Schizosaccharomyces pombe: one gene and its partner. The gene in region 1 interacts genetically with each later gene. Each region holds a gene or a part of one and is shown in the gene's direction. Other genes may lie near its edges.

Region 1 (6,234 bases):
TCGTTCTATCCACGATTGAATGGACTGCTGGTTTGTTGACAATTGCGTTGTGTGTATCAAAGTTCTTAAGCTACTTTCCAGAAATAGTTCAGATCAGATCAATTCCTATACGCGACTGTATCTCTGCCGTACTAGTGTACCTAGTGACAGGATTTATATACACTATATCAGATCTAACCATGAAGTCTGATGCAAAAGGAATTACGAAGACATAACATTTAAGCTTTACACCCGTTACCAGCACATGCATTCATCTCTTAAAGGTTTCGACTATGTATACCACGGAAAACTATTCTAGTTTATGCAGGGAAATATTAGTATGGGCGAAAGATGGATAGAACTTTAATTGATTCTCTAATTGTGGAAGGGGGCACATATGCCCTATTGAAGTCAACTGAAGTTATAATTTTGGCAACCCCAATTGTGCTGCTTACCTCAAAATCGAATTGATAATCTTAATTGAACCTATAAACAAAAATTGGACAAACATATAATCTATGCCAAATTTCACACCATGAATACTTCATGGTGTGAAAGGATGGTTATCGAACGTTCGCATTTTGTCGTCGAATCGCCATCATCGAAAATTAATGTTTCCAGCAGAAATTGTAGTATGAGACATTCGTTCAAATTACGATTTATCTGACTTGCATCGTTCTATAGAGAGTCTGGTTGAACCGTTAATTCAGCTGATATTATACTAATGCACTACTGTAAGAGTGTAAGCAAATTAACTATAATCATGATACTGTACAGGAGCATTCATAATATTTACGAAATTATAATCCTTTGCGATAGAAATACTTTACATATCATAACATTAATATTGGTTGAAAGAAAGAATCACTGTAATTTGTCGTAACGCTAAACCAATTGCCAAATTACATTGCTATTAGCAATCGTAGGAAAACTAATTAACTTGTACTATCCGATTAGTACGCATTAAATGTTTAACTAATTTGTTTAAAACAGCTGTTCTGAAGTCTGAATGTCGAGATGTTGAATATAAATGCAGAAAAGGTTATATAAATATTAATGAATTGAAAATATCCGAGAAGAAGAAAAGAATAGTCTTTTTGTGTCTTTTTAAAAAGATTCAGTTTTTTCTCGTGCTCAGTTTTTAATCCATTCCATTTGCTTGAATGGTTAATTACATTCTTGTCTTCTCAAACTTATTTTCACTACAGAGTTGCTCGATGTATCTTTAAAATGAGTAACAAATCAACTTTTCAACAAGCCATGCCATGATTATTCGATGTACCTGCACAAGCCACAGAAAAAGCAACAGACATGAAGAACACAATTTTTAAGCCACAGGATTTCACATATGTTCAAAATGAAGATTTTTAAAAATCAATTCTGATGTAGATTATTAATGATCTGATTTCACATTGTCCACAAGCAAAGATGTATTTGTTTACTGTTTGTTCTTTGGGTTCAAACACCGACTAAGAGGACCTTGTCAATTCGTTGAAATAAATTTCTAGAATTCGTAAAATTTATTCACTTATGTTATCCTTGAGTGAATACTGATGTTATTTGTTTAATGAAGAGTCATCAAGAAATCATTCATCACCTCATTTATGAAAACTGGTAGCATAATAAAACAATTAAAAACTCATTCATTTCATTGAATTAAAAAAGTATTTGCAAGAGGTAAAAATAAAAGAACATAATTCATTTTTCAATGTTTATTCTATTAAAATCGCATTTAAACCCTCGCTTGCAAAGGACATAAATATTTAAACTCCTGTTCCTCTTTTTCTTTATTTAATGAATAAAGTAAATTTACGTAATAGATGATAATGAGATGTAACTCTTATTGCGTAATGCGCTTACCCGTCTCGATAACTCAGACGTGTACTGCAATCTTATTAGCTATTAAGACCATTACGTTGATGTATCAACCTTAAGAAATTGTGACCTTTAGTAGGTAACATCTTTCCTTTAAGAAGGATGCTCCTACTCACATTTACCACCAACACATATCTAGAAATACTCGAATCTAATCAATCATTCATTTTCCTTCTTCTAATTTGCATTAAAAGAAGTGAGATTAGTTTCTTTATATGAGTCAATTCCTAGATACTCTCATAGAGTGGGAAAACTAGAATAAATCAATCATTAACACACTTGCATCACGAATCCATAAAAAGTTTCAAATAGCACTTATTTTTCGTCTTCATTTTTCCGTTCTTTTTCATTTAGCCCCTCTTGTATTAAACACTCATTTCCTTCTCGTTTGTCTTTTTTTCTTAGTGTGTGCTTAATTCTTTAATTTTTGTTTTACCCCAATTCCTTGCGTACCGGTCTTCCTGACTAACAATTATATCATTCAGGACTCAATTGCTTTAATTTTTTGGTCCCTGACAAATAAGAAAGACGTTTGTAGCGTTTTCCTTTGGCTAATTTATTTTTTTGCAAGAGTATCAATTTTCTCAAACCGTGCTGTGTCTTTTGTTGTTTAAAAAAATTTATAGGACTGATTTCTATCTCTTTTCTTTTTTTTTTCTTGCTCTCTCTTTTAAAAAAAAAAAATTGTTGGATTCCCCCTTCATTTGATATTTTGGTTTAAACCTACTTATTTGTGTTATTTTTCAAGTTTACTACATAAAACCTTGTATATCATTTTATCTTTTCTTTGTTTTTTTCTCTCTCCATTTTCGTTTTTGCAATTATAACTGTTCTTTTCTACTCATTCTTCTATCACCTTCATCATATTATATCCGCTGCATAATATTTATCTTCTGCTCATTCAAATTTTGTATACCCAATCGAAAGCTTTGCTTTCTTATTCAATTCATAATTTAATTGTATTATGAACGAACACCGAAGAGAACCGCATCGACGTTCTGGATACCAAGATGATTCTGCGTTTACTAATACTGAGAAATTGGTCGATGAGCTGGACCACAATGTAGAACCGGAACAGCTCTTGGAAAAAAACAGGACAGATTTTAAACTTATGTATGTTATCGTAAAGTTCTACCGATGGTTCAATAATCTCTCATTCATTACTCGATGGATTACTATTTGGTTTCCATTAGCTGGAGCTCTTGTTATTCCTTTAGCAGTTGGTGTTTCACCGTACCCTAATGCTAAGCTTGGTGGCGTCCGAATCTTTTGGATTTTCGTATGGTTAGAGGTTGCTTGGGGTGGTTTTTGGGTTTCTAGGGTGATAGCACGACTTTTGCCTTACATTTTATATCCTTTGATGGGTATTTTACCGTTTACTATGTACAAGTACACCGTTATACTTACTGCTCTCGAAATGCCGCTCGCCATATTCTTCTGTAGCATTGTCTGTGTTTGTACCTTTTCTCCCATCATGATCGGTAAGGGCAACTTTACATCCACAACCGTCACCACTACTACTAGTGCTACTGCCACTCCCACCGCTAGTGCTAGTTCTAATGCTGTGGAGAGTGTATTTGTCACCAAAACCGCAGCTAGCGTTCCAAGTTGGATTAAAGTCATTACTAAAATCCTTGGTGCAGCCGTTGTTACAAGCATTGTACTGCTCCTTGAAAAGATTTTCTTGCATTTTATCGGATTCCATTACCATGAAGTGCAATATCAGTACCGGATTACGGATAACAAAAGAAATACTGCAGTGCTTGCTAAACTGCTGACTGCTGCTTTGGATGCACCTTATCACGATAGTCCACGAGTCCGTCGTCAGGATTATTTGCTTGGACTCATTGATACCAGATCTATGTCCGAATCTAAAGGCAGTGGAAATGGAAAATTAAGAAAGGTTAAGAAAATATCTAAAAATGCAAAGCGGATTTTTTCAAAAACAAGAAATGCTATTAGCACGGCTTTTACGGATATGCTAGGAAAGCATGCCAAAGATTTGACACCGGAACAGGAGTTCATTCTTGAGACAATAAGATCAAAAAAGAAATGTCTAGCCTTAGCTAGAAAAATTTGGTACTCGCTTGTCCCTGAAGGAGAAGATTGCTTTCAGAAAGAGGATTTGATAGGACTTATTCCCGATGATGAAATTAATGACATTTTTCATATACTCGATAATGATTATAGTCGTACTGTCACCCTGGATGAAATGGAACAATTTACGCGTGAAATTTCTATAGAATTTCGTTCGATTAGCTCCTCTTTGCGAGATGTCGATCTTGCTCTTGGGAAACTCGATCGAGTTGGACTTGGCGTTGTTGGCATAATCGCCGTTCTTACTTTTATATCATTTTTGGATACCTCATTTGCAACGATTTTAGCAGCGTTTGGTACTACTTTACTAAGTTTGTCATTCGTGTTCAGTACTTCGGCTCAAGAACTTATGTCCTCAATTATTTTTCTTTTCAGCAAACATCCCTTCGATATATCTGATGTTGTTATCGTTAACAATATCAAATATGAGGTTGTTTCGCTTTCTTTGTTATTTACGGTATTTCGTACGATGGGAGGATCAACCGTGCAAGCTCCGAATTCACTTTTGAACACTTTATTTATCGAGAATTTACGCAGAAGCCAACCTCAGTCTGAAACGATTACCATTGTTTCACCTTTTGCTACAGATTTCAAACAGCTAGAAAGACTTCGTGATTTATTATTAACCTTTGTAAAGGAGAATGAACGAGATTTTCGCCCTATCATCGATCTTAATGTATCCGATTTTTCTACTTTAGATTCACTGAAATTTACCGTTACATATTATTATAAATCTAACTGGCAAAATGTTTCATTGCAGTGCGTGCGTCGTAACAAATTTATGTGTGCGCTTAAAAATGCGATTGCAACAACGAATTTGCCGGCTGTTGCGGACCCTGTACGCGGTTCCCCTGATTACCCTTTTGTTATCGAACAGTACAATTTGGAAAGGCCGGAATATAGTAAAACTGCTTCACGTCCTCAATTTTCTGATATATCTTCTACTGCAAGTTCGAATTCACTATCTAATAAACCGGGTTTTGCTCATAGCGAATCCAGAAATTACCATACGCATGATGAAGATAATTCTTCTGATGATAATCATAAGAGAGAAGATAGAGGTCATCTGCCTGCCCAGTACCTTCGTCAATCCGTGGCTACTTGGCAAATACCCAATTTAATAAGTGCAATCGAGGCATATGATTCTCAAAATGAATCATCTCAGGAGAATGCTACGTATACGGTTGTCGAATCGAATGGTAATGCTAATGGAGACAACACTGCTACTAATTCACAAGGTGCGACTGATAATGGGCAAACCACGACAAATACTACGCAGAACAATGTGGATAATACACAGGCTACTACTGACAATACACAAGCCAATACAGATAACATGCAGGTAGCGATTGATTATTCGCAAAACATGGATGGCCAAATTCAGTACTAAACTGCTGAATTATGGCGGAATTTAAACTTTTATTTATTTTGTGATGATTACGACCGGTCATGGGTAAATAATATTATTTCAAAACACTATGTACTAATATCCTTGAATTTTAAGGGACTTCTGAATGTTTGGCTGCGATTGTACATTTTATTCCGCCTGGGAAATATATATATATATTTTTATGGAACATGGAGTTTAAAATTCAGTTTTACGTTACACGCTGTTGACTCTCTTCATTCAATCTTCTCCTATTATTCATACAAATTTCTTTTTTAACTTAAACAAAATATAATGATTTGATAGTTATAAAGACAACAATTATATATGTATTTGTATAACTAAAACAAGGTATTCGAATTAATATTCATCCAACTGATATCCGTGAAGAAATACTTTACTGTGGCACATTACGTTGTACTACATTAGCGTATATCTTTCACCTTACTCCTAATCTTTGACTCCGTATTTGTCAGCTACGCAGTTTAGTATCTGTTTTAAGGGTACGTAAAGCTGCGGTGAGTTTTCCTTGTGATCTATTATATTGCAATACGCAAGTAATATAAGTAGCAACTGAGTATAGGTATCGTATTAACTAGGTTATAATGTTACCTATCACTGATATGGCTTATAACTGAACTCAGGAATGAGGTTCAGTTGTTCTCAATTTATAACCATTTGAAACAGCAAGAATCATAACTGACAGTTATTCACCTTATTACAACTAATATTATATATGTCTTGATAACTTATCATGTAAAGCTGATAGAGCAAATAGAACATTATGAACATGTGGCATATAGTGATTCATAACGTAGTACATTATAGCGTAGTTTAGTATAACTGACAGTATTCAATAAGCAACTTTGCGCAGTTGTACATAGTGTACCATAAGC
Region 2 (6,914 bases), on another chromosome or scaffold:
GCGCGCCCTGTCTCTAAGAAATATGTTTGCTGCTTTGCTTGTCAACTTTGTACGGTATAGTGCATTTTCCTATCACTACAAAGGGTTTAAATACAATTTATAATTATAAACTTTTGCAGTGTTGAAAACAGCAGTTCTTAGACTGATCACCAAAAACATCTATTGGAATTAGAAACCTTGGATAGTAATTTTAAACGAATCGATTCGTGCCTTTTTTTGGTTTATTTTTAATTTATACAACTTTTTTCAATGTTTATTATATAGTGCACGGCGTAATAATACGTATTGTGATTAAAACCAATACATCCTTATCCGACAGTGAAATAAGACGTCGCGTCTACTCAATGCGAACCTGCGCATAACGACAGGCACTATGATCTTTTGCATTAATTCCTCTACTTGTAGGATGAGGACATTTTCAACTATTTTAGGAAGAAAATGAAATTGATATCATCGATCATTTTCGCGCATCTAAAAGGAATGAAAGCCAAAAACTTGCTGGCACGGAATTACGGTTATAATGATGTTCAATTTGACCAGATCAGGTTTTTGCAGGAATTAAATTTTCCTTACTTTCAAAATAGTGATTTTTGTAAATCATTTTATTCCTCTTCACTTCTCTCATTCTGTTCTTCTATCCAGCTCAGTCATCTTAAGACATTGTTTACCAAATAGTGAAGTTTACTGTGTAGTAAGCAAGGATTCGAAAATCACTCTCATTATCGCTATAGTAATGAGTTCGAAAGTTTATCAACCTCTGTGTACGGCCTGGATTACAGGCGAAATTGGGTAGAGAAAAATTTCAATAAACAATGTTGCAGTTTTGCAATCCGCTTTGATTAAAAAATTCAAATTTCAGTTTCCAAGTAGATTAGATAATTCGACAATTTTCTTGTTCTTACTCGAAATGTTAACTACAAACATTGCAAGCTGCCTATGGTCCAGTCCATACTTCCATCGTCCATTCCCTTTCACACTTTATACTTGTCTGCACTAGTCTCAACTCTATGCTGCGTTCCTCTTTTCCCTAGCATTGCATCAAGCTCGGATTATTTTTACAACCTTTCTAAGTCTACGTCTACGTCTACATCTGTATCCATATCTCAATTTACGTCGTCCTTCGCCGCCCGTCATATTACTCTGCTCCATCATCTCGTCCCTTCCCTTCCCTTTCCGCTTTAACCCTAACCAGGAAAATTGTGAAACCGATGGATCGCTCGTCGCTGTGTACTTTGATGTGATTTCATAAACCACCAAACCCTTCCACCGGATCTGTTAAAACCGGTCAAAACACAGTAGAAATGCTGTTGACTTGCTATAAGAAAAAGTGAAAAGGCAAACCACTGGAGAAACGAATCCTCAAGAAAACTAGGTATAAGCATAATTTAATGGAATAAGCATATTTCTTGGGTACCACTTGTCCATCATTTTCATCTATTTATTGTTACTTTTGGATCCGGGTCGTTGGACATGGCAAGATCGCCGTAACCAGATTAGGAATAGAGTTATTCGCTACTCATAGCTCGGCGATAAAGCAAAAGAGAAGAGAAAATGCTGGAGCTAACACACAGGATGCAAATAACAAGAGCAGATATCGTTGCGAGGCAAGTCATGGGAAGTCATCTTGGATGATGTGCAAGTCTCCGATAATAGACCCACTTCATTAGAAAAGCTCATTTTTTGACCCTTCTAGATGAGATAGCTTTAGCATTCATATTACTTATTTTTTTGGTTTCATCTTTTTTTTTGTTTTATCTTATCCTCTTTACCATCCTTCCCTCCCTCCCTCCTTCTCTTTCCTTTTTCTACACACTCGGCTGCGTTACTGTACCCTATGTGTCTCCGACGATCCTACGCAATTGCTACTTTAATGAGCTCGCTTGTGATTCGCTTTTCCTGAATTGCAAATTTTTCCTGCTTCTCCCTTTCCCATCTTTGCGTGCAATGACATCATAATGCTGTCCAATATATAAGAAAGCTACATCTATTTTGAGCCACCTGCAGATAACCAACGTGTTGAATTTTTATACATTCAACCACCAATTCTTGTCCTATTTCACCAGTAGAAAGATATATCGAAATTCTCCCCCCTAGTTTTGAGATTTTCTTTTTCTCTTAAACCTCTACTGGTGAAGAAAAAAATTGTACTTTCTTCACATTCTTAGCTCTGTGTTCTTGGCGCTTTATTTGTGATATTCAGTACGGTTTATTTGTTTATATCTCGCATTTCATTCCAACTTTAAACATCTAAAACGTTCGACTCTCATTCCTTTTTATTTTTTTGTCTTTTCCCGGTCGTTGTTGATTTTTTTCGGTTTTGTTGAGTGAATTGGAATCGCGGCTTCAATAAAAGATAATCATCACTTTTCAGCTTGTTTTCAGTACTCTTTGTGAAATTTCTTTGTAGTACTTTTCAACGCTTTTTTTTTCCTTTTATATTTTTTTCTATATCTAAACTCAACTCTAAAGACCGGTTTGCGGCGTTTTGCTTCTTGTGCTAACAATTTTACATTTAAACAACTTGATCTTTTTCAAACATTCTCTTTCTACAATCTTTACTCATCTTGTCTTATACACACTGTTGGTTGCATACTGAATGGTTGATAGGTTGTTTCATTAGTTCTGTTTCATCTGTTGCCATTGTTAATCTTATACTAAATTTGTCCAAGCAATAAAAAATAAAAGTATTTTTTACAGTTCTTTGTTGTTGGGGTCTTTTTGCGGTTTTACTTTCAAAAATTTTTTCCTTAGAGTTAAATTGTTTATCTCACGATTGATTATTTGACCTCATTTGTCAACCACATCCCCATTCCAAGCTATCTATTTTAAACATTTAGAATCTCTTTTTTTTTTAGGTACCCAAGTTATCGACTTTTTTGTTTTTCCTCTCATTTTTAGTTCCTTCCTTGTACTTGTGTTTAATCATTACTCATCCTTGGATTTCTGCATTTTATTGACGTTTGGTCAAGTTTTCTATTTATTCCCTCTTGTGTATTTTTTCTTTTCCTCTGGACGATAGTTTCTTCTCATTCCTTTCATCATATTCCCTATTCCTGGTAACTCAAATCAATTCATCCTTGTCTGTTTTTCTTTTCCCTTTTTCATTTAAACCTTTTCAGACAGTTTCTTATTTTTTAAATTCTTCATACTTACGGTTTTCGCTCGCTCCTTTAATCATGTCTTCTCCTACTTCTCCTACTTCTAGTCCTGGTCGCCATCATTGGTCAAACTCGAAAGACGGTATGCCGCCAGAGTATACTAATCAGGATCCCAATTCTGATCAAGCTGATAACGAAAACTCTGATGCCAAGGCTCACCAACCTCAGCATTCTCCCCAGCATTCTACAGAAAATCAAGGTCATACTGGGACTAGTGATACTTCGTCCCTGGAAATGGAACTATCAAAGTTGCACCCAGAATCCAAACAAAGGCAGTTGCCGCACTCTCCTGAACATGAGCGATCTCGATCGCCTATTGCTTCTGTCGTCTCATATCGCTCGCACATGACTTTGGAAGATGAAAATCAGATTTTTAATGCCGAAATGGCTGTCCGTGGTTCTCAGTCTTTGCAAAGACGTCCTACCGGCCGAAGTGTTCGCGGATCTATGCGACGCCTTTCTTCCCATCGTTCTAAATCCATGCGTACCTCCAAGTCTAAAAAGTCGGGCGATTATGAACGTACTGCGGAGAATGAAGAAGCCGCTCAAGAGGCTGAGAATCATTTAGACAACTTTGGTGTAGTGACGTTTGGTACTGAAGCTCCTATTAAGGCTCCGGACCATCCTGTAACTATTTTTGGTCGCATATTCAAATTTATTCAACAGCGAAGCTTTTACCTTCGTTCGCTCATTTACATTATTCCTCTCGGGGTTTTACTCTTGATTCCAGTATTCATTGGTCGCTTTTATCACCCACAACCTCCTTACCGTGATGAACTAGGTCATGAATATGAGCGCCATTTACACGTTGGAGGTGTTGATTTGATGTGGATGGCCATCTGGTGGGAAATTATATGGCTCTCTATATGGGCTGCTCGCTATGCTGCCAAAGTAATTCCTTATTTCTTTGCCTTCTTCGTCTCCTTCATCAGTAACAACGTTACTAAATGGAGATGCATGGCAGTTGCCCTTGAGTTTCCTATTACATTGTTCCTTTGGATGTTAGCTGTATATGTCAGTTTCCTTCCCATTATGACCCGCCGTCATATTGGTGATTATGGTGTACCTGATCATGTACGCGTAAAACTCCCTTGGCAACAGAGCGCCAACAATGTACTTATCACTTTATTCATCACCTCAATTATGAATTTGGTGGAGAAAGTACTTATGCAGTTGATCGCCATGTCGCTTCACCGTCGTGAATATGAATCTAGAATCCTTTACAATAAGTTTGCTATTAATGAACTCGCCCGTTTGTATGGATATGCGCGACAGCGTTCTTTTGATTTCAAAGATGCTATCCATCGTGCTCAAGCAGATGTTTTTAAGTTTGCTGATCACCAACATGGCAAGAAGCGCGCAGCAGCTGCTCGGGTTGCTCAGAATGCATTGAATAAAACCACTTACAAAGCTATCTCTGCATTCAACTTCGCTACGGATATGGTTAACAAAGTGGCTGGTGAGATTACTAATCGTGAGGTCGAAAAATCTTCTTCTCCTAAAAGTGTTGTGCTACACTTGTTAAAGACCACACGCGGTTGTCAATCTCTAGCTCGTTGCTTATTTGAGGCATTGGTGAATCCTGAGAATCCCGATTTAGTACTGGATGATTTTATTCCCGTATACACCGATGAAACTGGTGAAGTGGATAATGCCACCTTAGAGGCATGTTATTCTATTTTTGATCGTGATCTAAATGGTGATATCACCTGTGAAGAAATTGAACTCGCATGTGTGGAAATTGGAAAAGAGCGTAAGAGCATTTCTGCTTCACTTCGTGACTTGAACGATTCCATTTCTAAGCTTGATGGTATTTGCATGTTTATAGTGGCTGTCATTACTCTTTTTATTTTCTTATACTTGATTGCCCGTAACTTTAGCGGTGTACTTACCTCTGCTGGAACTACTTTGCTAGGTTTGTCTTGGCTGTTCTCCGGCTCCGCACAGGAATTACTTAGTTCTATTATATTCGTATTTGTGAAACATCCTTACGATGTGGGCGATCGTGTCGATGTCATGATCAATGGCACAGTCACTTCAGCGATGGTCAAGGAAATTTCCATCATGTCTACCGAGTTTCGTCTATTGACTGGAAAAGTCATTCAAGCTCCAAACAGTTTGCTGAACACCCTTTGGATTTTGAACATGCGTCGTAGTGATGGCATTGCTGACCCAGTCACCGTTAACCTGAAGTTTGGAACTACTCTTCAGCAAATTGAACAACTGCGAATCAAAATTATTGATTTTTTGAAAGAAGAGAAGCGTGATTATAAACCTGACTTACTAACTGAAGTTACGGATTTACCGGATCTCTATTCCATGTCTTTGTGTGTTGTATTCTTTCATAAATATAACTTTCAAGACGAGGTTTTACGTATGCGTCGAAGAAATATGTTTATGTGTGCATTGATGACTTATATGCAGGAATTGGATATTGTATCTCCTATTTTCAACAGCCCTGGTAAATCAAAGGATTCACCTATGTATGTCAACTTCAACAATGGTTCAATGGAGGGTGTTAAGTTATCTGGTGGTAATGATGGTGGTGGTACTGAAAATCATCGCGACAGCACTGTTGGCGGAGGAATTCTGAAGAACCCAAAAGCATATCCTTACCGCGAACCTACTCCTCCTGGTAGTTCAGATTCCGATACCGCTAGTGTTTCTAAAAAGCGTGTTGACTTTTCCCTTGGAACACGGCATCTGATGCCTGCTTTTGATGATGTTGCTGATATTGGAAGTAAAAGGCTTGGTCGTGATAGTCTTCCCGATGCTGTCATTGAAAACGCTGGCACAGAGGCCATGCGACGCGAAGCTGAGGAACGTCGCCGAGCCGAAGAGGAAGAGTACGAACGTTCTCAACAAGAATCTAGTTCGAATGAAGAAAACGAAAATGCATCGCGTACGTCAGGTGCTCGTTTTAGCTTTTCCTCTAAAGCTAGTCGTTTGTCGGCTAGACCCAGTGCTCGTACAGTTCCTCCGTTGCAGCATATATCAATTCAAGACTTACGTGAGCCAAACGAAAATAATACTTCTAAGTCTGCTCGACTTTAAATACCCATAACACTTTGCAAACTTGCATCGCTCATGCTAGTTTTACTTACTTCATTCGTTGAAAGTGGCTATTTACCATTTTGGGCACTATTTGTTTCTTTTTTTTAGTTTTTATTTATTATTCTATGAAATGTTTAAACGTATATTGTATCTCAACAGCAAATTTTTGTATTAATATTAGCTATGCCTTGTAAAGTTTCGTAAAAGTTATGCAAATGATTTACGAATAATCTTAAACTAAAACTAGTATAATGCTTTTTTCACGTAAACAATGACTCACCGTCGTAAATTTAGACGTTTCAAGTGCGAATGAACGTTAATAATTGTTCAAAGGTTTCGTTTTTATAATAATTATTTCGTTTTCATAATCGTAATTTTTCACGAAAAAGTGTTTGTGTTTTAGAATGCCAACGAAATTCTCGTAGCGAAACTTCGAGTTTGTTTTAAACATTCAGGAAACAAATAATGATTAAAAAACAAAAAAAAAAAAAACGGAAGGTAAATTTCTATAACTAAGCAAAGATAACTGCAACGATGCGTACTGTTATTAGCAATTATTTTTCGTAGGTGAAGAAGGTAAATTGGAAATTTGAATGCGAGTTTCAACGGCCAAATCATCAGCTTGGTTTTGTGCCTCCATGTCCGGACACATTGAAAACTTGTCATCAGCAGGACTGCATGCCCCTAAGGGTATCGATTGAG

Evidence for each region. A genetic interaction does not mean that the proteins touch.
Region 2: of msy2 (region 1) and msy1, changing one enhances a phenotype caused by changing the other (phenotypic enhancement), as found in Schizosaccharomyces pombe (2 studies listed by BioGRID).

What each region holds. Positions count from the first base shown.
Region 1 is NC_003424.3:4,287,508-4,293,741, reverse strand, and holds msy2 (MS ion channel protein 2), read left to right. Parts: upstream 1-1,980; 5' UTR 1,981-2,818; coding exon 2,819-5,341; 3' UTR 5,342-5,733; downstream 5,734-6,234. UniProt on the Schizosaccharomyces pombe protein: Regulates intracellular calcium levels and cell volume for survival in response to hypo-osmotic shock. Involved in maintaining vacuole integrity and protecting the nuclear envelope upon hypo-osmotic shock.
Region 2 is NC_003421.2:616,848-623,761, forward strand, and holds msy1 (MS ion channel protein 1), read left to right. Parts: upstream 1-2,000; 5' UTR 2,001-3,176; coding exon 3,177-6,212; 3' UTR 6,213-6,375; downstream 6,376-6,914. Other genes in the region: transporter mug73, read right to left, coding at 6,760-6,914.